3 linked regions of the Caenorhabditis elegans genome follow. The protein of the gene in region 1 interacts with the protein of each later gene in a pairwise test. Each region holds a gene or a part of one and is shown in the gene's direction. Other genes may lie near its edges. The genes, in order: scrm-7, ZK1055.7 and F37C4.5.

Region 1 (6,876 bases):
AACGCTACTTTCATCCGACACGTGGATCTCAGAAGCACTTCATCATTTGTGCCAGACGACTCATCAGAGGAACCGGTAATTTTCGTCGAAAGTTTTTCAAAACCTATGTAATTTTCAGATCCCTGCTAAACGTCTGAAAATAATGAGTGATTTGAAGGGTAGAGGTGGAGAATTGGATCCGAATTCGATGACTTTCCTGATGAAAACCATTTTTCTTCATGTAAAAAAGACAATGGAAGAGGCAGATGAAGCTAGACGGAAGCATGAGATTAAAGAAGAACTTGATTAATTTATTTTTTAATATTTGATTTGTATTGTGTTGAAATGAATTTATAATTATTGGCAACGTAACTATTTTTTCTTGTATACTGTTTCTATTACTTCAAGACGAATTTTTTTCTAGAATGGGACCCGGCTGAGGAGCGGTTTTTGAGCTGTTGTGGAGCTTCAGACATTAATAAGTAAATCTGTGAAGTTTTAAAGAAAGTGGTGTTTGTGGTTGAAAAAATAAATTTTTTTAGAATTATGAAAAAAAAAACATTTTTTGGCACCTTCCGATTCTCCTGGTTATTTTTTTTAAATATTTAAATTAACCAGGAGAGTATTTAACATAAAAAGTAACATCACGTTCATCTCGACAAGTCGGGCCAGCAAAAAAGGACTAACGGACCAAAACTGTGGCACAGGCACAAACTAATTACAATAAATTGGATTAAAAGTATGGAATTTATTCATTTAGTTATATTTTTTTTTTTGGACCATCTTAAGATTTGAATATTAACAATTTAAAGTCAAAAAAGTTTATGTGGCTCGGTGGTATATCTTGGGCTCATAGGAGAAAAGAATCTAGAATCTTCAATCTTCACTGGGCAGTTTTCCAAATTTGGAGTTTCTGGTCGAATGTAGACGTTTTTCTTTGGGAATTTGAGAAGGAAGAAAACTATGAAAACCAAGATGAGAAGAGTGACTATGACGAGGATAAGCACGGAGTACAGAACAATATTTGAGGGATTTGATCTGAAATTTAGAACTGAGTTGATTCTTGCTTTGGTTAATGTGATAACTTACTGTTGGAATGCTGCAACTTTAATAATTGGAGTAGTTGATGGAACTTCCGAAATCAAAACTGTAGTGGTAGTAGTTGTGATTTCAGTTGTAGTAGAAGTAGTAGTTGTTGTACTTGTAGTCTTCTCTTGACATGATTTTCCATTGAAACCAGCATCACATTCAAAAGTCGATTTAACAAGAAGAACAATATCAGTGAATGCAAATGTTTGATAGCTACTATCATCAGTTTCCATTTTAAAAGCATACTTCAATGGGAAGTTGAATTCCTTTGAAAATACAATTTCAAGAGTCTCTTGATGATCTTTTGGATGAAAACTGAGAGTTCTTGAAGCTCCCATTGCCAATTCCACAGTTTGAAGACTTGAATTAGTTGAAAGATGCAATGAAAAATGACTAGAAGCAGTGAGCTCAAGACGAAGATGTCCAGTGGCAGAAACCATTGGAAAAAGGACAAGATAGAGAAATGTTGAATAAGAACACATTCTGATTGGAGAGGAGCAAATTAGACTAAATGATTATCCCGGGTGGATAGATTGCTTATATACCAATTCCAGACAAACCACGCCTTCTCTGGAAATGTCATCATATTCCAATTGTCATCCTGCACATCTTCACCTTGTTATTGGAATTACAAATGGCTGGAGATGAATGTTCCAGCTGTAACTCCAATTGCAGATATCCCAGAAAAATCGGGTATCTTGGAAATGTTGAAGATTGGAATCAATTATTGAAAAATCTTTTCAAACTCAGATTTCTAAAAATTGGTCTCAATACTGTAAAAAGTTGTTTTAAAATTAAGTAATTTCAAAACAAAATCTCCAAGAAAAAGCTTTTATTTCACATAGTAGTTCTCTTTAAAACGCTGGCATTGACTGGCAGCCTGGAGCACCGGGAATTCCAACTGGAAGCGATCTTGGGTTGGCTGCTGAAAGAATATTCATTGAGATCTTTTCCTCATTAAAATAACTGACTATCGGGAACCGAATTAGCAGCTGGTGTTCCTGGGTTTGTGTACGACGGGGCTGGAGAATTGGCAGCTAGAGAAGTCGGCTTGACACTGGTGTTAGGGGCATTCGGAACGCTTTTAGCGGTTTTACTCCTGAAAATCAGAAATAGTTAGGAACAAAACTTTGACCGGGATTTGTAACTTGCATCAGGCGAAACTCACAATGCACTTTTAGCTGTAACGGGTGGTCCGTTTGTCTCAGCCGCCTGAAAAAGAACTCTGGTAACCTGAACATCATTTCAACTCACTCCAGATCTTTGCGTTGAGTTCTCGCCCTCATCCCTCCCTCGGGCTTCTGGTTTCTTCCCTTTCTCAGATTTTTTGGATTTCTTCGACTTGCTCGATTTTTTCGAAATTTTCATGGAAGAATCCGCTGACTTCTTCTTTTTGTTCTTCTTGTTTGACTTTTTCGATGAATCTTTGCTCCTTTTCTTCTTCTCTTCTTTGTCCAACGCAGTTCGAGTACTATCCGGTATTGCATCCGAGATCGGCGCCTAAAAATCAGAAATATAGAGATTACAAGATATTACAGATTAATCAGTGTTCGGTTTTCAAAGTGTTCTGGTACTAGAAATTCAACATCCGCCTGCCTGCCCGGCATCATGCCTATTCCGTGCCTACTCATTGATTTTTGCAGCTTCCCCCTCACATACCGCTCTCATGGAATTTGTCATCTCCCGAACATGACAACTGTTCTTCTGACGGGGTGGTTTGCAAAAGCAAATGATGAATATGGTGCTCTGTAATTTATAGTTTGTAGTGTCAGTGCAATTTGTAGTCATTGTAGCTCACCGTTATCATTATGAAAGAGTTGAAGATAAAGAATGTATCCATACAAACCGCCATCACATGATTCGTTTAATAAACGGAATAAATTGAGAAATAATCGAATATGAGTATGTGGATTCGAGTATTGATTGAATCGAAAAGTGAATAGAATATTTGATTTTTTTTCTCTCACGGGAATTAATTTTTTTTCTCATCGTGTTTTATTGAAAGTTTATTCATTGATTTTTGGGTACGTTTATTTGAATACTATTTCAATTTTTAAGCTTTGAAAACAGCAATACTAAGCCTGAAATTCCGAAAAGTTCACGTTTCATTAATGAAAATATCAAAAACTTTTGGGGGGGGGGGGGGGCAGAAATCGGAAAAGTACCGATTTTTGTTCATTACTAGAGTTCATTCGTGACGAAGAAGGTGCATTTACTCATGACAATGGAAACAAAACAGGATGACGTGGAAGCCGATGGTTCTGAAGTTCGAGCACAAGCTGGAAGAGGTGGACACATGCCACAAGTTCGATCGACACCAATCGTTCTTCCAAATCAAGTGGCTTCTATGCCAGTTAGAATGACAGTGAGTTACACAGAGAAACATCATATGTCTTTGCCTTGGGACTTATTTGGTAGGCAAGTGTCTCATGTGTTTGTGCATGCCTGTCGTTTGTCTATCGGTAGGCTGAAGTTAGGTGAAAGTCGCTTATAAAGGCTACCTTCTAGGCGACACCGACTGTGAGTGTGTAAAGTGTGGCAGGGTTCAATTACCGATTTTTTAACAAATTAATTAAATGAGAAAATAAAAAAAAATCGTAAGTTCATCGTTACACCGGAGTTCATGCAAAAATGCTGTATTTCAGGGTTTCAACAACCTTCCGGCTCACAATGTTCTGGATATGATTTCTCGGACCAACTCTATGATGGTTGTTCAAGCACTAGAACCTCTGGAAATTGCAACAGGAATCGAGACGCCAAATCAATATGTTGTTCATGATATGTACTGTCGTCCGATTATGAATTGTATGGAAAGATCCAATGGATTTGCTCGTCAAATGCAAGGATCTCATCGAAGCTTTGCAATGATGTGTACAGATTTATTTGGTGCACATGTTATGCAATGTCACAGAGATCAGCCTTGGGGATCATTCACGGATCACTTGACTACACAGTTTCTGGGACAGAATATTGGAATTATGTCGAGAACTCATGGGGATGTCAATGTGAGTTTATGAGAAATCAAGTCTTTTGGCAAAACTTGGTTACCTTCTGGGAAACATTTTCACTTTCTTGGCTGAAACATTCGTGAATATATTTTTTTCAGTTCCATCTTCTCGGCGCGGGAAGCAATCAATCTCTTCTGATCCGTTCTCCGTTGTTTGCTGCAAGTGGTGGAACCAGAAGCTTCCCAGTTATGACCTACAATGGAATGAGAGTTGGTGAAATTGTTCGCCTTTATCCTGGATATATGCAAGAAATGTACTCTGATGCAGATACTTATATTGTGCATTGTAAGTAGCTTCTTTAAACTAATTTAATTCTCAATTTTACAGTCCCAATGGATCTTCCACCAATCTTGAAGCTTTTGCTCATCTCGTCTGTATTCCTTATCGATTTCACATTCTTTGAAAATAATGGACAACAAAATAACATGTATCGTGGATATGGAGGATCACATTATGTTAGACAACGTTCTTACCATAGTGGATTCTCTTCTGGATATTTCCCTGGATTCTATTGATTTTTTGGGTATTAGTGTGATGTCAAATGGATTCTTTCAAATTCTGCATTTTATTTATTAAAAAAGCCTTCGTTTCAAATATTCTTTACCTTTCAAAGTCTCGTTCAGAAATTGATTTAAAAGTTTCCACAGATTTCATTTTCAAAGATGCTATATCTTTGATTGAGCTGTTTGTAAACCGTATTCAACTTTCCTATAAAACGTTTCACCATGATTTTCGTCCATCGCCTTTATTATAACGGTGACTAAATATTCATTATTTGTGTTGAATGTAAAATGGTGAGTCTTCAAGGATTACTGTAATTTCTAACGTTTTGCTGTTGCGTCGATTTTTTCAAATAGCTTGTCAAGTTTCGAAAGAATCATGGAAAGTGAAAAATCAATTTGAAAAGTTAGTAAATTACAGTAATCCTCAAAGGCTCCCACCATTTTGGATTTAACACAAATGTTCGTTGCGATGCATCGTATTGTACCTTTTGAGCAACATTTCCCTTCTGGTTAATATTGCGAAATCCTCATAAAATCAAGAAAAATCTAAAAAAAGCGAAAAACTCTGCTTACAATTCAGATCGCGGCGAGTCCCGTTCAATATCATTCGTGCGCCTTCGAGCACGAGTTCCAGGAGAATTCCAAACTTCGAAGAGACATAATTTTTGTATTTTGAAGACTGCATATTTTAAAATGTTAATACCTGACTATGACTAATTTCACCTTTTAATTCTAGAATGATTTACTTTTCAAAAACAATGCAATTATTTCAAATATGAAAAAGCTGCAAAAATGAATAAAATTATGAAGCTGTTGGGGAAGGGGTGGCAAAAATAAAATGCATGAATCAAAACCAGGAAGGAGATCACAGGATGACCAAAAATGACTAATTTGTAAAATTGTAAACCCATGATTTTTAAAACAAAAATAAATAAGTAAAAATATTATGGGTACGCAGAAATATGTTTTTTACGGATTCCAACCTGATTCAATGTTCTGGGGCTGATCTCTCCAATGTGGCACTGTACCTAGATTTCAAAGAACGAATTTTTCTACGTTCCCATAATAAATAACAAATAGTGAAAATATCTTAGAAGAACTCAGTCGCCGGTGGCTTCTCTTCTTCTTTTTTCGTTCCAATCAACGGATCCAATTGTTTGCTCACCAATTTGTAATAGAGTCCTTCTGTATTTTTCATCAGCTCCTCATGGTTTCCCATCTCGGTTACATTTCCCTTTTCAATTACAGCAATTCGATCAGCACTTCTCACAGTGGATAAACGATGAGCAATCACCAATACAGTTCGTTCACGAGCACATCGATTTAACGCCTCTTGTACCATAGCTTCAGACTCTGAATCCAGCGCCGATGTGGCTTCGTCAAGGATCAGAACACGTGGATCACGGATCAAAGCTCGAGCAATTGCAATTCTTTGCTTCTGTCCTCCAGACATTTGGACTCCTTTTTCCCCGCACTTGGTATCATATCCCTTCTCCATTTTAGACACGAATTCATGAACATTCGCCATTTCAGCTACACGCATCATATCCTCATCCGTTCCATTTTCAAGTCCATAAAGGATATTTTCTCGAACAGTTCCAGAGAATAAAGTTGGTTCCTGTGCAACTAGTGCAATGTTTGTGTGATAATGGAGATGGTCAATGTTCTGAATTGGTGTTCCATCTATCAAAATTCTTCCAGATTGTGGAGTATAAAATTGTTGAATCAAAGAAACCAATGTCGACTTTCCATTTCCACTTGGTCCAACCAATGCAATAGTCTTTCCTGGGTCAATTGATAAATTTATCTTATTCAGGACATTTGCATTCTTGCGAGTTGGATAAGCAAACTCAACATCTTCAAAGATAATGTTTCCAACAATTTCTGGTGTCTCGGTTCCGAACTCATAGTCGAGTTCTGGTTGGCGATTCATGATATGGATTACTTTTCGTGACGATCCAATGGTTTTCATGACGTCAGAGAACAAGGAGCTGAATGCCTGAAAAGAAAAATAATTAAACTAATTTTTTATTTCTAGAAATATTGCATACTGTAAATAATCGAAAATCACCCAAAACGGAAATTTCAAAACATAACCATTTAAAAATTTCTAGAAATATTTATATGATTATTTGAAGTGTCGAAAAAAAAACAGAAATCAGTGCTTAACATTGCAGGATCGAAAAAAACTGCCAACATATTGAATTTTTGAGTAGACAGTAAAATTATAAACTTTTAATTTTTCAGTTCCTCCAATTATACACTTGTCTAGTTATCAGCTTTTTGGCTCATTCTCG
Region 2 (7,771 bases), 8.2 Mb from region 1:
TTTTAATTCTTAGATCTCCAAAACTCATTATTATTTTATAGCTCGAAGGGATCTTTGATGTGCAAACCAATTTGCGTAAAGCGAAGAAAAGACGCCAATTCTCCTGAAGATGCTTGGTATCATGCAATCGATGTGAGAGCTCTACAGATTGTAGATGTACCATCAGACGAGCCTCCAAAACGAATGATTCCTCAACGAACGCCATTTGTGTATCAGAATCCAAACCCACTTCCACCGCATCGAATTCTACAATCGTTTCCCACAATTCGAACAAACAGAGAAGCACCACATGGAAGAAGTCTGAAAGATGAAATTGCAAAAATCGCTGCGAATAGACAGAAGATTCAGAGAGTGTACACTGTTGCTTCATCATCGCCGTACGCGAGGCCTGTTGTCGTTAAAACCGAATCCAAAGAGGGCATTGTTGAACAACTGACTCCATCGGCTCCTCCACCGAAGAGGTACTACGCAGTACGACCTGCGGCAGGCAATGGAACAAGTGTGATTCGCGGAAAAGATGGTCAAGTATTACGAGTTATCAGAAATACCCCTTCGTGAGCTGATCAATTAAAAAAAGAAAATATTCGATTTTTGAAATATCGAAAAAAAATGTTTCAGAAAATATTTTTTTTAAATCAATGTTTACGTTGATGAGAAAGCATAATAAAACATGAATATTTTCTAAAAAGCAGTGAAATTATTAAGAATTTTGAGCTATTTTTTGAAAAATCAAAAAAAAATTTCGAAATATCAGAAAATTGAAAGTTTTCGATTTTTCAAAAATTAAACAATTTTTGGTTTTTAATTTTAGTGAGAAATCAAACAACCGACATCCTTGTATCAAAGGTGTCGCCATAAAATGTTCGATTTTCCGGTATTTCTCATAGAAAATAGAAAAAGTTGTTCGGTTGTTTTTTTTTGGAAATAAAATTTTATTCAAAAAAAATACGAGGAAAGTATGTATAGATTTATCTCTCAAATCAGAGAAATGACATTATTCATAAAAATGAAATGTTTTCCAAAAGATCGAAAAACAAAATGTTCGATTTTTTAAAATAAAATTACATCCTTTCTGCTGATACCATTATTAACCTAAATTAAATATATTCAACTTTTCAGAGTCTCCTTCAACTTAAACACTCCTCTGACTGCATCGAAAAAGATGTATTTCATTCGTACAAAAACTGGTGTTACCCATCAGCTACATCAACCTCCACAATAATCCCAGCTCATACATCTGTACCTCAATTCACTTTAGTTATTTGTCACTAGTTGGTATTTTCATTGTTTTGTTTTTGTTATGCTACTTGTTTCGATATATCCGCATGTTGTTTCAAATTGACTATGCTAACGTTTTCTTTTCTCATCGACCAGTTTACTTCCCTGTTCTGTTTAATAGTTCTCAATCATGTTATTTTTCTCAATTTTTCTGAAGAGTATCTTATCATTTCTTTTTTTCTGTATTCCCAACTCACCTTGACATTTCTGAATTGTTGACCCAGCAAGAAACTTTGCATACCCTCTGACTGGTATTTCATATTTTTGGGAGAAAAAAAACGTTTCGAAAATTTGTGAATTATTATGTGAAAAAAAAAAAAAAAAAATTATCCTATCGCGTTTTCCTTTCTGCATCTAAGTCTCCAATGAGTCAGCACAAACACATTGCGAAACATTTTCTGTCTCTTTGGTATAAATAGAGAGTTTCCTCTCTTTGAAATGATTTGAAGGTTTTACTGATATCAACGTTATGAAATTTAGTCATCTCGTCGCGTTTCTTTTCGAAAAGTTTTGAATATTCAACTTTACGTTTTTTAGTTTTGGAAATTTCAGTGTGTTATTTCAGTTTATATAATGTTTCTGAATTTATTACAACACAAAATTATGAAAATGCGTAATGCGCTATCTGACTATCTGACGCGCAAAATATCTCGTAGCGAAGGCTACAGTAACTCTTTAAATAACTACAGTAGCTGTGGTGTCGGTTTACGGGCTCGACTTTTGAAACGTATTTATTCTCGAATAGTGATAAATAGCGATACTCTATTTTTCTTCGTTTCTTCGTATTATTTTCTCATTTTTGCTTAATATGATAAATTATATCTACATGATAAGTCAAAATGATCCCGTAAATCGACACAGGCGCTACAGTAGTCCTTTAAAGAATTACTGTAGTTTTCACTACGAGATATATTGCGCGTCAAATATGACATTAATAATATTTACAAAATACAGATGTTTTTTAAAAATATCTTTGTCTTTAGACAACTACTGCTATAATCTCTCATGCGTATATCGTATATTCGTTGAAATTTTAAAATTCAGTTTAAAGGCGCACACTATTTTTCTGTGTAGGTCTCGCCACGATCTCAGCTATAGTGATCGCTACAAGCTTCAAATTTCATGCATTGGTTCATTTAATGTAGAAATGTACGACCAGTTAGAAAAATACCAAACCAATATGTTGAATAAATTAACTTCAAGCCAGATTTTCTACAGTAAACATTAAGATTGTATCACCGTCCGTAAATCTATATATTCTTAGAAATGCAGCGATATTAATGATTAACAACAATTCGTGATATATACTTTCGTTATTTTAGAATTCCTAATATTTGAAAATACACACCTCTTAAAAAGAGTCATTTTCAGAAATGACCACCAACCCATCTGTCCACGAGTTCGAGACTCGTGATCTTAAAATTGCCGAGGTGAAAGTATTCACTGATAGAGCTGAAATCCGTCGTCTTGTCAAAGTTTCATTGAAATCTGGTGTCAATGAAGTTGTTCTCAAGGTTTGTAGAATATGAACAAGTTTTTCAAGTAGTTTTGAATTTAGAACCTCTGCAAAACAATGGCTCAAGGATCAATTAGAGTTGAAGGAAGAGGAAATGCAATCATTCATGATGTAGTTATTAAGAATGTTTCTCGTTTGCCAACTGAAGCTGATCCTCCAAAGGTTGGCAAGATAATTAAAATTCGAAAATATATTCTTTTTTTTAAGATCACCAATCTCAAAGCTGCCATTCTAGAGGAGAAAAATCGCCTCCAAAAAATCACAGATCGCGGAACGGTTGTCCAAAAATGCGTTGACAATTTGGACAAAGTTTTCGAACAAGTTGGTGGGGGTCTCGTGAATCCACCAAAAGATGGTGTTGCTTCTTTAAATGAAGGAACTTTGGAAAGTCTTACAAATTTCTTCCAATTCTATGGGAGCAACTCCGAATTATACAGAGAAAGTGAGTTTAAACGATAAATTTGAGATTTTAAAAAACTTAATTTTTTTTTCTAGAACTACGATCAGTTGAAGCTGGACACCGTGAGCAACAGGAAAAAGTTTCGAAACTGGAAAACGAGTTACGAGCTCTAATGCACAATTTGAATGAAGAAGCGTTCTCTCAGTGAGTTTTTGAAAAGTTTAAGGTGGAATTGTGCCAGTCGGGGAATTTACCAAAATATACTAAAAATGGGGCAAAAACAACTTTATATGTCTTTTCAAATCTTTCTTAATCTTAACTCAAACTTTTGGCAACATACCAAATTTTGAATCATTTAAAAAATTTGAAAAACTATCAAAAAACCCATAAAAATTTGAGGCGCACAATGAGCTATGCTTTGCTTTCTATGCACTATTTATTTTCAAATACAAATGGGATTACAGATAGATTTGAAGATATGCAAAAAAGCATCCAACCCTAATAAAAATTCGAAATATTATAAAGAAAAGTTCCATATGATTTTCCATCTATTTCTAGAAACAATTTATTTTTTGAGTCTTATTGTTTGACATTGTTAAGCTGTAGTATTTAAGATCACTGTTTGCCTATCTTCCCAACAAATTGATAACTTAATTTTAGCACTGCCACAATTACTTTGGAATGCACAGAAGACCTGGAAGCTGAGCTGAATGTAGTCTATCAAGTGTTAGATGCTTCGTGGCATCCATCATACGATATCCGAGTTGACACAGAGAAACCATCCATGAGCATTACATACTTTGGAAAAATCCGTCAATTCACAAAGGAAGATTGGACTTCTGCACCACTTGTTTTGTCAACTGCTCAGCCATGTCTTGCTGGCAGAATTCCAGATCTTGGAACTCTCGAAGCAACCTTCCGTCGTCCTGAAGTTCAACATTATCAAACAAGATCGATGAATGCATCAGCCTCATTATTTGGGGCGCGGGGACCGCAGAACCGTCGAGCCGAAACACTCGGATTTTCAGATGAAGTGACTTTGGCTCCACCAATGGCTGTCGCTGTTGCTTCAGAAATCACCCAAAACACGTTGAGCACAGAATTTAAAATTCTCAGAGAAGCAACAATTCCACACGGTACTGATGAACACAAAGTTACTATTGGAGTTGTGACTCTTACACCAAAACTTGTTCATGAATCCGTTCCAAGTAAGAATGCTGCAGCTTTTCTCACGGCTTCTGCTGTTAATACTTCTCAACTTGCACTCCTGGCTGGATTTTCATCTGTCTATCTGAATAATGCATTTGTCGCAACAGTAAGATTTTTTTGTTGAGAAAATTGATTTAAAACAAATTAAGTTGCTGAAATAACCAAATTTTAATAGTAAGAATTCTTCTATCGATTCAATCTTGTTTCACTCTGAACATACAAGAATGATCTGAATCTTTCAACAAAAAAAAAGAAAATTTCAAAACTTGGAAATTTGTCAAAACTCAACTAGAAGTCATTAAACCTCTAAAACATTGTATAATGAATGATATATGAAAATATTTAGTCTCATTGAATCAGTTTGAGTATATTTTAATAAAATCCAACTTTTAGAGTCACCTGAAAAACGTGTCACCAGGTGAAAGACTCACTTGCTCTTTGGGAGTTGACACGGCAATTCGTGTGGAGTACAAGCCGGCAAAGAAGTACCATGAGGAAGGAGGTTACATCACCAAGCACTCTGCAAATGTCACGGAGCAAACAATCTCCATCAAAAATACGAGAAATGAGCAGCCGGTGCTCCTAACCGTGAAGCATGCGATTCCACGTAGCACTGACGAGAAGATCCGTGTGAAGCTAGTTTCACCAGCAGCTACGCCATATGATGCGGAGAAGGCTGGCACTGAAGCCGAGAATTCTGAGCCTGTGGAAGGGGCAAAGTTCAATTCCAGCAATCACTTGGAGTGGACTATAAAGCTGGCTCCGAGCAGCTCAAAGGATCTGATCATCAAATATGTGGTGGAGCATCCAAAAGATGAAACTGTTCAATATCAAGAGAATTTCTAAAGTACATCCAACAGTGAATTGATACTTAAATGAAGTCGTCTATCTTTTACAGAAATTTTTGTTTTACAATTTTCCCATTTCCGTTTTATCGGTTTTCATTTTTTTAATGTTTTTTTTGCACTTTCTTCACCTCTAGTTATAATATGCCCATCGAATAATCTACGCTTATAGATGGCATCAATTTACGAACTTGACATTCGAAATCAGGAAATCAGTGGAATTACAATTCTCAGTGACCGAGCTGAAGTGAAACGACGGGTACCAGTTAATTTGAAAGCGGGAGTTAGTGAGATTTGTTTAAAAGTGAGTTTCTTTTTTTGAAAATCATTTTATTGAAATTCCAACACTTTAAATCTCAACTTTTGAATAATTTACATACAAAGACTAATATAAAACTCATTTTGTGTAGATTATCTTTCTGAAAAAGTTGTATATAAAAAATTATAGTAAAAATGAGCCAAATAAAATAAATATTAAAAAGAACATTTAAACATTATTTTGAAATTGTTTTTGAAACCTTTTGAAATGCTGGTAATTTGCAAAAATTTTGACTTTTTGGTGTATCAAAATGGTTACGCGGAGAACTAATAATAGTTTTGCAATAAAAATCTAAAAGTTCATAAAATAGATTGAGTTATATTATGGGATTTCTATAATTATTTTTTTTTTAATTATTATTTTCAAATCTTTAAAATCGCTATCAAAATATTTTCACGGCGTACCGTACCTAAAAATTCTTCGCGTTTAAGACCATTAGCCATTGTCGGGGAGTTTTCAAATGTTGCCAAGAAAGTTAGAGCTCAGCAGCATCTTTGCAACTTCATTGAAACTTACAACTGTTAGTAACTTATTTTGTAAGTTAACATTGAATTCCTACAATATATAAACTAATGAAATGTTTATTTAAAACTCCAAATTTTCAGAACTTCTCTGTATTTTTCCAAAGTGATTCTATTAGAGTTGAAGGTCGTGGGAAAGCAACAGTTTGTGATGTGAACGCTAAAAAACTCCCTTCTTTAAACTCAGAAACTGACTCCCCGAAGGTAAGTAAAAAAAAATCCCTGTTACATAGATTTTTGAAGCTACTTATGTATTTTAGATTGCCGAGTTGCGAAGTGAGCTTGACAAATACAATGCAATACGTAATAATCAAGAGGATCAGAGAGATATATTGAAAAAGAAAATAGGTGGATTAGAACGGACAGTAGGAAGAATTGGAAAAGGAATAATGAATCCTAAAAGAGAATCCGGAAGTGTTGTTATTGATGAGAACCTGCTGACAGGACTTCAGAAATTGTTAGATTTTCAAGAAACTGAAATGAATAAATTGAATGAACAGTTGCGGGAGAAAGAGCATGAGATCCTCAAAACAATTGAAATGGCGAGTAAGATTGGAAATGAGTTAAATCGCTTAGTGAATAGCGGAATTTCCAATATGTCTCAGTAAGTTTAAATATAACTTTATGTATCAAAACGTTCAATAGGACAGTTTGAAAAACGCTGAAATATTTATATTTCTACTTTGTTTAGTGCCTACAACTTACCAGAAAAATTTTTTAGGACGTGACAGTATCAAAATGTTTGTTGAAACTCAGGAAGTCTAATTTTCAGCACGGTCTTCATTACACTTGAAGCTTTCGAAGATGGCGACGTTGAATTGGATATAACTTATCAGGTTTTTCAAGCTGGGTGGCAGCCGTCTTATGATATTCGCGTGGATACTGAGAAACCAACAATGGCTATTACATATTTCGGAAAGATCTATAACCATTGTGGAGAAGACTGGAACGAATTTCCAGCTGTTTTGTCGACTGCTCAACCTAGTCTCGGAGGACAGATTCCTGAACTAGGTGTTCTCGATGCTCACTTCTACAGACCTGCACTAAAGATGAGGCGACAACGTGGCCTGAGAATAATGAATAGAAGAGGTGGGCCTCGTATGTTGTCCAATTATTCCAACGAGATTGATGATGGTGTAGAAGAAGTACTTCAAACAATGGCTCCACCTCCAATGGAAGTCACAAAGAACACTTTGAGTACAGAGTTTAGAATCGCACGGAAAGCGACTATTTTAAACGGTGTAGACGATCATAAAGTGACTATCGGCACTATTGAACTGATACCATCACTTTTACATCAAAGTGTTCCATCCAAAAATGCATCAGCGTTGTTGACAGCTTCAGCAGTCAATACTTCTGTACTGCCACTTTTGAGTGGTGAAACTTCAATCTTTTTGAACAATGCTTTTGTTGCAAAGGTGAACGATTGTATCAAATTTTCATAGTTTTCTCTCAAAAATATAATAGTGTAGGATCCCGTTAAACAGATGCTTTCCAAAAGTGCTCATTTCAGGAGTGGGCGGCAATTGCCGTTCGGCAAATTAATTTGTCGACAAATTCGGCAAATCGGCCAATTGCCGATTTACTGATTTGCCGGAAATTTTCAATTCCGACAATTTGCCGGTTTGCAGATTTGCCGGAAATTTTCATTTCGGCAAATTGCCGATTTGCCGTTTGCCGGAT
Region 3 (7,390 bases), on another chromosome or scaffold:
TGGGGCTACGTGTATGGTGGTATGGGCGCTGTATCCAACGCCATCGCCGAATGTGCCAAGAGCCATGGAGCCGAAATCTATACGGAGCAAGACGTTCAAGAGGTGCTTCTAGATGGAAACGTTGCTAAAGGAGTCCGTCTGTCAAATGGCAAGGAGCTCCATTCGAAGATTGTCATGTCGAATGCGACTCCTCATGTAACATTCAACCATCTTGTCAAGAAGGAGTCACTTCCAGAGGAGTTCCACCGAAACATCAATCAAATCGACTACACATCGCCGGTGACAAAAATCAATGTAGCTGTGAAGGAGCTTCCGAACTTCTTGGCCAAACCGAATCAAGGATCAGAGCCAATGCCACATCATCAGACGACGATTCATATGAACTGTGAGAATATGCAAGTGGTGCATGACGCGGTGATGGATTATAAGAACGGGAGATATAGTAGAAGGTTAGTTGGTTCAGAGGGGTTTTCATCGGTGGGCGGCAATTTGAAAATTGTTAAACCTATAATTTGTCTTGTATCTTTGTGGGTACGGTAGGTTGCGGTCCAAACTGCCGAATATTCTGAAGAATTTTCTGTAGATCAAACCGTAATAGGACATCCTAACACTACGTATAGGATTCGACTAGTCGCGGCCGTTTTCAGTGTCATAACATTTTCCCCCGTTTTCTTGAGCTAAAGTAAAAGTTTTGACAGGGAATTTGTAAAATTTAAACATTTTATTAACAATCCGAATGAAGACGTGGTGTCAGCATGTCCCATTACGGTTTGACCTACAAAAAATGCGGAAACTTTTCCCCAAAAAATGTGACGTCAGCACGTTTTTAAGCATGCGAAACAGTTGAGAAGACTGCATCTAAATTTGCGTACATCTACGTAGATCAAACCAACATGGCGCACTCTGACACTTCGTGAATAGACACAGTTCCTTTTCTGATCAAATAAATATTTTAAATTCGATGAATGATTCAGGATTTCTGACAATTTGTAAAACCCCTTTTAGAATTCATGATACCATCATTCTCGCCATAAACTTCAATTCAAAAGTTTGCAGACCAGTCATCGAGATGACAATTCCCTCTTCAGTCGACCGAACCATTGTGGATAGTGCTGATGGTCACGTCGTCCTCCTCTTTACCCAGTACACTCCCTTCTCACCGAAAGACGGTGAATGGACGGAAGAAAAGAAGACAGAATACGCGAAACACGTCTTCTCGGAGATAGACGCTTATGCACCGAACTTTTCATCAAGTGTCATAGGCTATGACATCTTGACCCCACCCGATATTCAGAACACTTTTGGGATTACTGGAGGGGTAGGTCCCATTTTTAAGGCTCAATTTTCAAAATTTGCTTCAGAACATCTTCCACGGATCTATGAGCCTTGACCAGCTGTACGTGTCCCGCCCGATCAGCAAATGGAGCAACTACTCAACGCCCATCGAGTCCCTCTACCTCTGCGGAAGTGGTGCTCACCCGGGAGGTGGTGTGACTGGAGCCCCCGGTCGGTTGAGCGCACTTCATGCCCTCAAACATTTCTAACGTTCTAAGTCTCTTCTCGCGGTTTTTTATTGTTTTGTTTGTCTTGCGCCAGTGACTCATAAAAACATTTCCAACACCATGATGTATTGCAAAATGTGTGTTTCGAAACTGCTGAGGAGACGACGAGGAAGTGATCTTTTGATTCACGATTTAGTTGCGGTGACCTTTGATTTTTGAGTGATTTGGTGGAATTAGAAATGTTAAGCGGGAAATCTTCAGAAAATTATAGAAATTTTCAAAAATGTTCGTAAAAGTTTGGGAAATAATTTCAGATTTTTAAAAAGAATTTACGTATGTATTTTTCTTTGGATTTTAAAATTAATTCTTCAAAAAATAGTTGAAATTTCTATTTAAAAAAAAAAAGAAAAACTATATCCAATTTATGTTCATACCTGAAAAAAAGCAAACATTTGTAATTTGGTATATTGAAAACTGTCAAGCTTTTCTATTTTTCAGGTTAAAAATCAATTTTCCACAGATTTGTCTTGAAATTTTCAAAAAAAAAGCTGTGGTTCTGTAGTTTGTGAAATTCGTATTTTTATTGAGTAGTCTAGTGTGATTTGTGCTCCCAGTTTTACAGCTCCTTCCGCAGGATCTTTTTTCGCCAACACAGCAAGTACGAAAACTCATCGCCACTTGGTCAAAGGTTGAACTCGTCTCAGTTTCGAAAAAAAAACCGAGAGAAACTCATCGGAACACAACAGAATGCCGCCCATCGCTTGATTTTGACCTTTTTCTTGTGTTGTCTGCTGCCTCTTGTGAAGAGATAGAGAGACAGCGAAAGAAATGCCAAAAACTCGTATAAAAGAGCGGCCAAAACGCCACAATTTGTTAGTTGTTGAGAGGAGTGTTTCCCTCAAATCTCTATGGAGATTTTTTTTTCGGGTTTCCCATGGTTTTCTGATCGTTTGAGCTTTGCTTTCCGCTTTTTCTCTTACATTTTTACTTTTTTAAGGCTTTTTCAAAACTAGAAAACTTCTCGAAATAACATACGAAAAATAAGATTGCGAAATACGTGAAATATCGTATTTTACTCAAAAAAAATTATTGGGAATTCGATTTTTTTTTTCATTTTATTTCAAATACATTTTCTGCCAAAATCGCAGTTTCCTATATTTTTGGTGAGTTCCGGGGAAAAATAGCTTCAAAGCTTTATTTCCATTTATAAATAGCTCTAGTTTGCAAATTTTTTGTCTAAAACGAGCGAAAGTAATGACATTTTTCAATTTTTTTTTTTCGAAAAAGTTCGGATATTATTGCGAAACTTGAAATTTCGGGAATTTTATCATGAAACAATTTTTTAAATTTGTAATTTGTAGTATTTCACAGTATTCTAGCAACATTTAAAAAATGTGCGAAATTTGAAAATTACGTGATTTTTTTTGTTGGAAAATATCAATTTCTGTATTTTCTAATTAGATTTTTCAGTGTTTTGCAAGATGAAATTTTAATTCAAAAAATCGTAGTTAATTTTGAACATTTTTGATCTACGTAAAAATGAACACTTTCAATTTCTGTTTGTTTCTTTTTTGTGTTGGGAGAAATTCGGAAGTTGCTTGTGTTTTTTTTTTGTTGAAAAAAAAATAGAAAATAGTCAGTTTTGTAGAATTTTATTTGTTAAACTCTCGTCTTAGCCTCACTTTTTCAAATTTTCCCTTGAAATTTACCTCAAAATTTCCAGAAAAAATGGCTCACATCGTGCAAACTCACAAGCTCACCCTCCATGACGTCGCCATCGACCAGGCTCTCGTCTACAGCTCCGACTCGAACTGCGCTGAGCTCAAGAGAACTTTCCAGGTCGAGTTGGCTCATGGCTACAATGAGGTTAAAGTTCAGGTGAGTGAAGGGCTATAAAATACGAGAAAAAATAATTTTTTTTTGCATTTTTTACTGCTAAGCAAACAAAACCATCGAAATTTCCAATATTTACCTTACCTGTCAAAGTTAAAGTCATAAAAACACTCACACAATGTGATAAAAAAATTTTCAGAACCTCCCATTCGACCTCGTCCAGGACTCGATCCGTGTTTCCGGAGCCGGCGAAGCTGTGATCCACGACGTCTCCGTCAAGAACCAGGAGGGTGCCGAGTTTGTGATCCCGGAGCGGGTTCTCGCAATTAAGGCGATCTTCGAGGAAAAGGAACGCGCCAAGGACAAGGTTGCCGATAGCCGAGTTGCCGTACAGAAGCGCATCGAGGGACTTGACAATCTGATCACCGAAGTCGCCAAGCACGGAAAGGACGGCGCCTTCCATTTTGACGGGCGCACAATTGAAAGTCTCAACGCCCTCCACGGATTCCATCAAGACACAACAGTGGATCTTCGCGCTCAGATCCGAACCCTGGATCAAGACCTGCGAAAGGCCGAGGAAGAGTACGCCCGTGCTAGCCAAGACTACGACAATACCGGATACAGATGGAGAAACTCTGCTCAGTATGCCAGTATTATTGTTGAGTCAGAAGCCGGTGGTGCTGCACAGCTCACCATCACCTACCAAGTGAACAACGTCTCCTGGACCCCGTTCTACGACATCCGCGTCACTGCTGGTGTTGAAGCTGAGATGCACGTCACCTACTTCGGAAAGGTCCGTCAGTACAGTGGAGAAGACTGGAAGACAGTGCCATTGGTGTTGTCAACCGCAAGACCCGCTCACGGAGTTAAGCAACTTCCGAAGCTCGGAGCCCTCGAGGCATCGATTGTTGTGCCCGAACCAGAATGTAACAGAGGTGGAAGAGGAGGTTATGGAGGTGGTTACGCTCAGGATTCAGTGGTGATGGCCTGCGCGGCTCCGATGATGGAAATGGGTAGAAGTAGAAAATCCATGAAAATGTCCTATGCGGCTGTGAAGTCCAGCAACATTGCCTCCGAGTTCAGCATTGGCCGCCCCGCCACCATCGACGATCGCACCGACGAGTACAAGGTGAACATCGGACAATTCACACTCGACACCAAGCTCTCCAACGTTACCGTCCCATCCCGTAACGCCACCGCGTTCCTCGTCGCCAACTCGGTCAACACCTCCGACTACCCACTCGTCGCCGGTCAGGCATCGATCTTCCTCGACGGAGCATTCGTCAACAAGACCGAGTTCGAAGATGCGGTCGTATCGCAAAAGTTTGAGGTGTCGTTGGGCGTCGACCCGAACATCCGCATCGAGTACAAGCCTGTCAGAAACTACCAGGAACAGAGCGGAACCGTCGAGAAGATCAACTCTCAGGTCACCGAGAAGACCACTGCCGTCACTAATCTTCGCCCCAACTCGGTGCTTCTCACCATTCGCGAGCAGTTGCCAAGATCCACAGATTCTAGAATTAAGGTAAAGATTGAATACATAAAAAGCCCCTAAATTTCCCATTTTTCAGGTCCACCTCAACACCCCAGAAGCCGTGGAAGTCGACGAGGCAAGCGTCGAGCCAACCGTCGGAGCCGCCATCACTCCGGAGAAGATTCTCGACTACACCGTCCAACTTGCGCCAGGACAGTCCAGCACTTTCGTCGTCAAGTACACTACCGAGCACCCACAGGCTGAGCAAATTCGCTATGAGGAGAAGTTCTGAAGTGCTTATGCGATGATTTTTCCGCTTTAACTTGATCTGTATAATTTATAAATAATTCCTTTAATGTCGCCAAATATGTAAAATAAATGTGTAATTTCAGAATTTATTGATTTCTTTGAGACACACAGAATGGATTGAAATGATGGAATTGACCCGTTTTGAGCAACAAATGGAATTGGAATTTAGAAAAAAGAACAAAAAAAATCACACGATATGATAACCCTTATCTTCTGGATTGCTGGTTGGAGGTCTTGCATCTTTTTTGTCACAGCTCTTTGCTCGGCTCAATCGACGGCGCAGAGATCTAGCGCGTTTCTGCAAAGGGTTTATGGAAATTTCTGGAACAAGGTTCGATGCACCATGTGATTTAAGAGCTTTTTTGCATTTGTCAAAAAGTTTTCAATTGGCGAAATAATTAAAACACGTTTTCTTAACTTTGCAATATGTAAATTGGTAATAATTTTAAAAGTAAACGAGGTTTGTCAACTCACTGCAATTTTCTGCACTGGCTGATAGCCGGTGGTGTTGGAGTTCCAATAATGACAAATCATGACAGCGGTCAAGATGAAGCACACTCCAAGAGCAACTGATGCCAAAAGCATGAAACCGGATAACCCGTTGCCGATTGCCGTGCGGACTTTCATTTTTGAGTAGTGGTCGAGCCAGATGCCTGAGAAAAAAATTAATTGAAATCCCATACCTCGGTTAATTTTAAAGGAACAGTGTATAAAGTTAGCTAATAATTTTTATAAAACCAAAGATGAAGTTTTCGTTGCACCATGTTTGCCTGATTTTGAGAGTTGATATCTCAGTTCTTTTTGGTTTTATCCAAAAGTTATTGACAAACAACTTGTTGTATCAGTTTCTATGTTCAACAATGCACCATGAAGAAAAATGACATTGTTTTAGTTTTACTCAACTTTAATGGATATCAAAAAAGTATAACTTTGTTGAAAAATTTCTGAACAACTTTCAATCTGATCGAGATATAAGCCATTCGGCAAAAAACTCTCTTACCTGTAGTAATCACAGCTAGCAGACTTCCGACAGCCGACATGATACAAAAAACGAGCCACAAGATTAGCATGGTCCTCCACCGATATCTATGCACAGCGCCCAATCCCATGGCTCCGGTGAGCAAGCTGACAATTGCTGATACCGTATTCATATGGCACGTGGATTGGTATTCGGCTTCTGTCGGGTAGCCGGGGCATGTGGTGCCATGAGCCAAAAAGATGAGCGAGATGAGGATCTCCGCGCGGCACAGGTGCACCATTATTTGGGCGTATCTAAAAAAAAGAACTTTAGGCATGGTGCATCGGCATAAAATCGGTTTTAAAAAATTTCGCGAGCCCACACCTTCATTTTGAAGCTATCAACTAATTTTCTACTGTAAAAGAAGAAACATATAATAAACTATGTTTTTCATTTGACATTATTTGATTGAAAACATGGTGCATCGACAAAAAATCCTTTTAAAAAGTTGTGACCTATTTAAGATGAGTCCTAAGTTTTCTACCCAGCAACCGACATTTCGTGGGTACCCGTAGAATGTCGTCTGCTACATTAACCTACTCGGTATGCTGAAATCCTGCCTTCTGCATTACTGTATAAGCCTTATAACGCCGTCGTTCGTTTGATGAGAACTCCTCTTCTTCTTCAGAAGTCTGCAAATATTTATTTTAAATTAAAAATACATATTTTATAGGTTCGAAGCTACAGTTTCAAACGCAAAATTGCGACAAAAAAGAGACAAGTATTCGGATATACTGCCTCGGGGAGGCAGGTAGGAGAATCCCATGTGACTACTCCAATGTGGCCTTGTTTTGTGATTGGAATCGATAGATTACATGTATGGAACAGTTTCCGGGAGAAAGTATAACTTTTGCTATTAGGATTTCACTGTTCTCACTATTAGTTGAACGTATTTGCAACATTAAACCTGATCCTATCACTAGCGCGCGTTTGCAACACCAAAATTGAAGTTATAATTGGAGCATGTTTGCAATTGAGTCTTTAAAAAGTTTGTCAATATTAGAGCGCGTTTGATGTTTTAACAAGAGTTATCATTAGAGCGCATTTTAAATTAAAATTGAAAATTTGTCAACATTGTGTCAATGCATCTTGACCACAAAAAAAATTTATTACAAGAAAGTTATCATTAGAGCGCGTTCGCATATTATACAAAATTTGATCAAAATGACCATTATTGCTATTAGGCCGCTTTTGCACAAGTATCGCTAGGGTGCATTGACAACAGAGTATTACAAATTATAAATAGAGCGGATT

Evidence for each region.
Region 2: the proteins of scrm-7 (region 1) and ZK1055.7 interact in a two-hybrid assay, tested with the Caenorhabditis elegans proteins (one large-scale study listed by BioGRID).
Region 3: the proteins of scrm-7 (region 1) and F37C4.5 interact in a two-hybrid assay, tested with the Caenorhabditis elegans proteins (one large-scale study listed by BioGRID).

Annotation. Positions count from the first base shown.
Region 1 is NC_003283.11:14,776,125-14,783,000, reverse strand, and holds scrm-7 (Phospholipid scramblase), read left to right. Parts: upstream 1-3,259; 5' UTR 3,260-3,286; coding exon 3,287-3,433; coding exon of another isoform or gene 3,434-3,530; intron 3,531-3,576; coding exon of another isoform or gene 3,577-3,632; exon of another isoform or gene 3,633-3,665; intron 3,666-3,713; coding exon 3,714-4,073; intron 4,074-4,174; coding exon 4,175-4,361; intron 4,362-4,403; coding exon 4,404-4,591; 3' UTR 4,592-4,798; downstream 4,799-6,876. Other genes in the region: Y50E8A.12 (THAP-type domain-containing protein), read left to right, coding at 1-75, 119-289; Y50E8A.11 (Integrin_alpha2 domain-containing protein), read right to left, coding at 792-1,017, 1,069-1,508; Y50E8A.10 (uncharacterized protein), read right to left, coding at 1,923-1,993, 2,040-2,167, 2,237-2,280, 2,323-2,568, 2,728-2,814, 2,867-2,920; haf-7 (HAlF transporter (PGP related)), read right to left, coding at 5,670-6,578.
Region 2 is NC_003283.11:6,600,254-6,608,024, reverse strand, and holds ZK1055.7 (Protein F37C4.5), read left to right. Parts: upstream 1-2,649; 5' UTR 2,650-2,651; coding exon 2,652-2,792; intron 2,793-2,836; coding exon 2,837-2,956; intron 2,957-3,001; coding exon 3,002-3,236; intron 3,237-3,289; coding exon 3,290-3,398; intron 3,399-3,854; coding exon 3,855-4,509; intron 4,510-4,796; coding exon 4,797-5,249; 3' UTR 5,250-5,289; downstream 5,290-7,771. Other genes in the region: gon-14 (HAT C-terminal dimerization domain-containing protein), read left to right, coding at 42-554, 1,120-1,222; ZK1055.6 (Protein F37C4.5), read left to right, coding at 5,421-5,552, 6,173-6,292, 6,349-6,692, 6,861-7,506.
Region 3 is NC_003282.8:3,869,642-3,877,031, reverse strand, and holds F37C4.5 (Protein F37C4.5), read left to right. Parts: upstream 1-3,225; 5' UTR 3,226-3,230; coding exon 3,231-3,380; intron 3,381-3,534; coding exon 3,535-4,860; intron 4,861-4,906; coding exon 4,907-5,101; 3' UTR 5,102-5,201; downstream 5,202-7,390. Other genes in the region: F37C4.6 (Pyridine nucleotide-disulfide oxidoreductase domain-containing protein 2), read left to right, coding at 1-449, 1,057-1,318, 1,362-1,544; F37C4.4 (Transmembrane protein 196), read right to left, coding at 5,306-5,416, 5,593-5,771, 6,119-6,390, 6,677-6,768.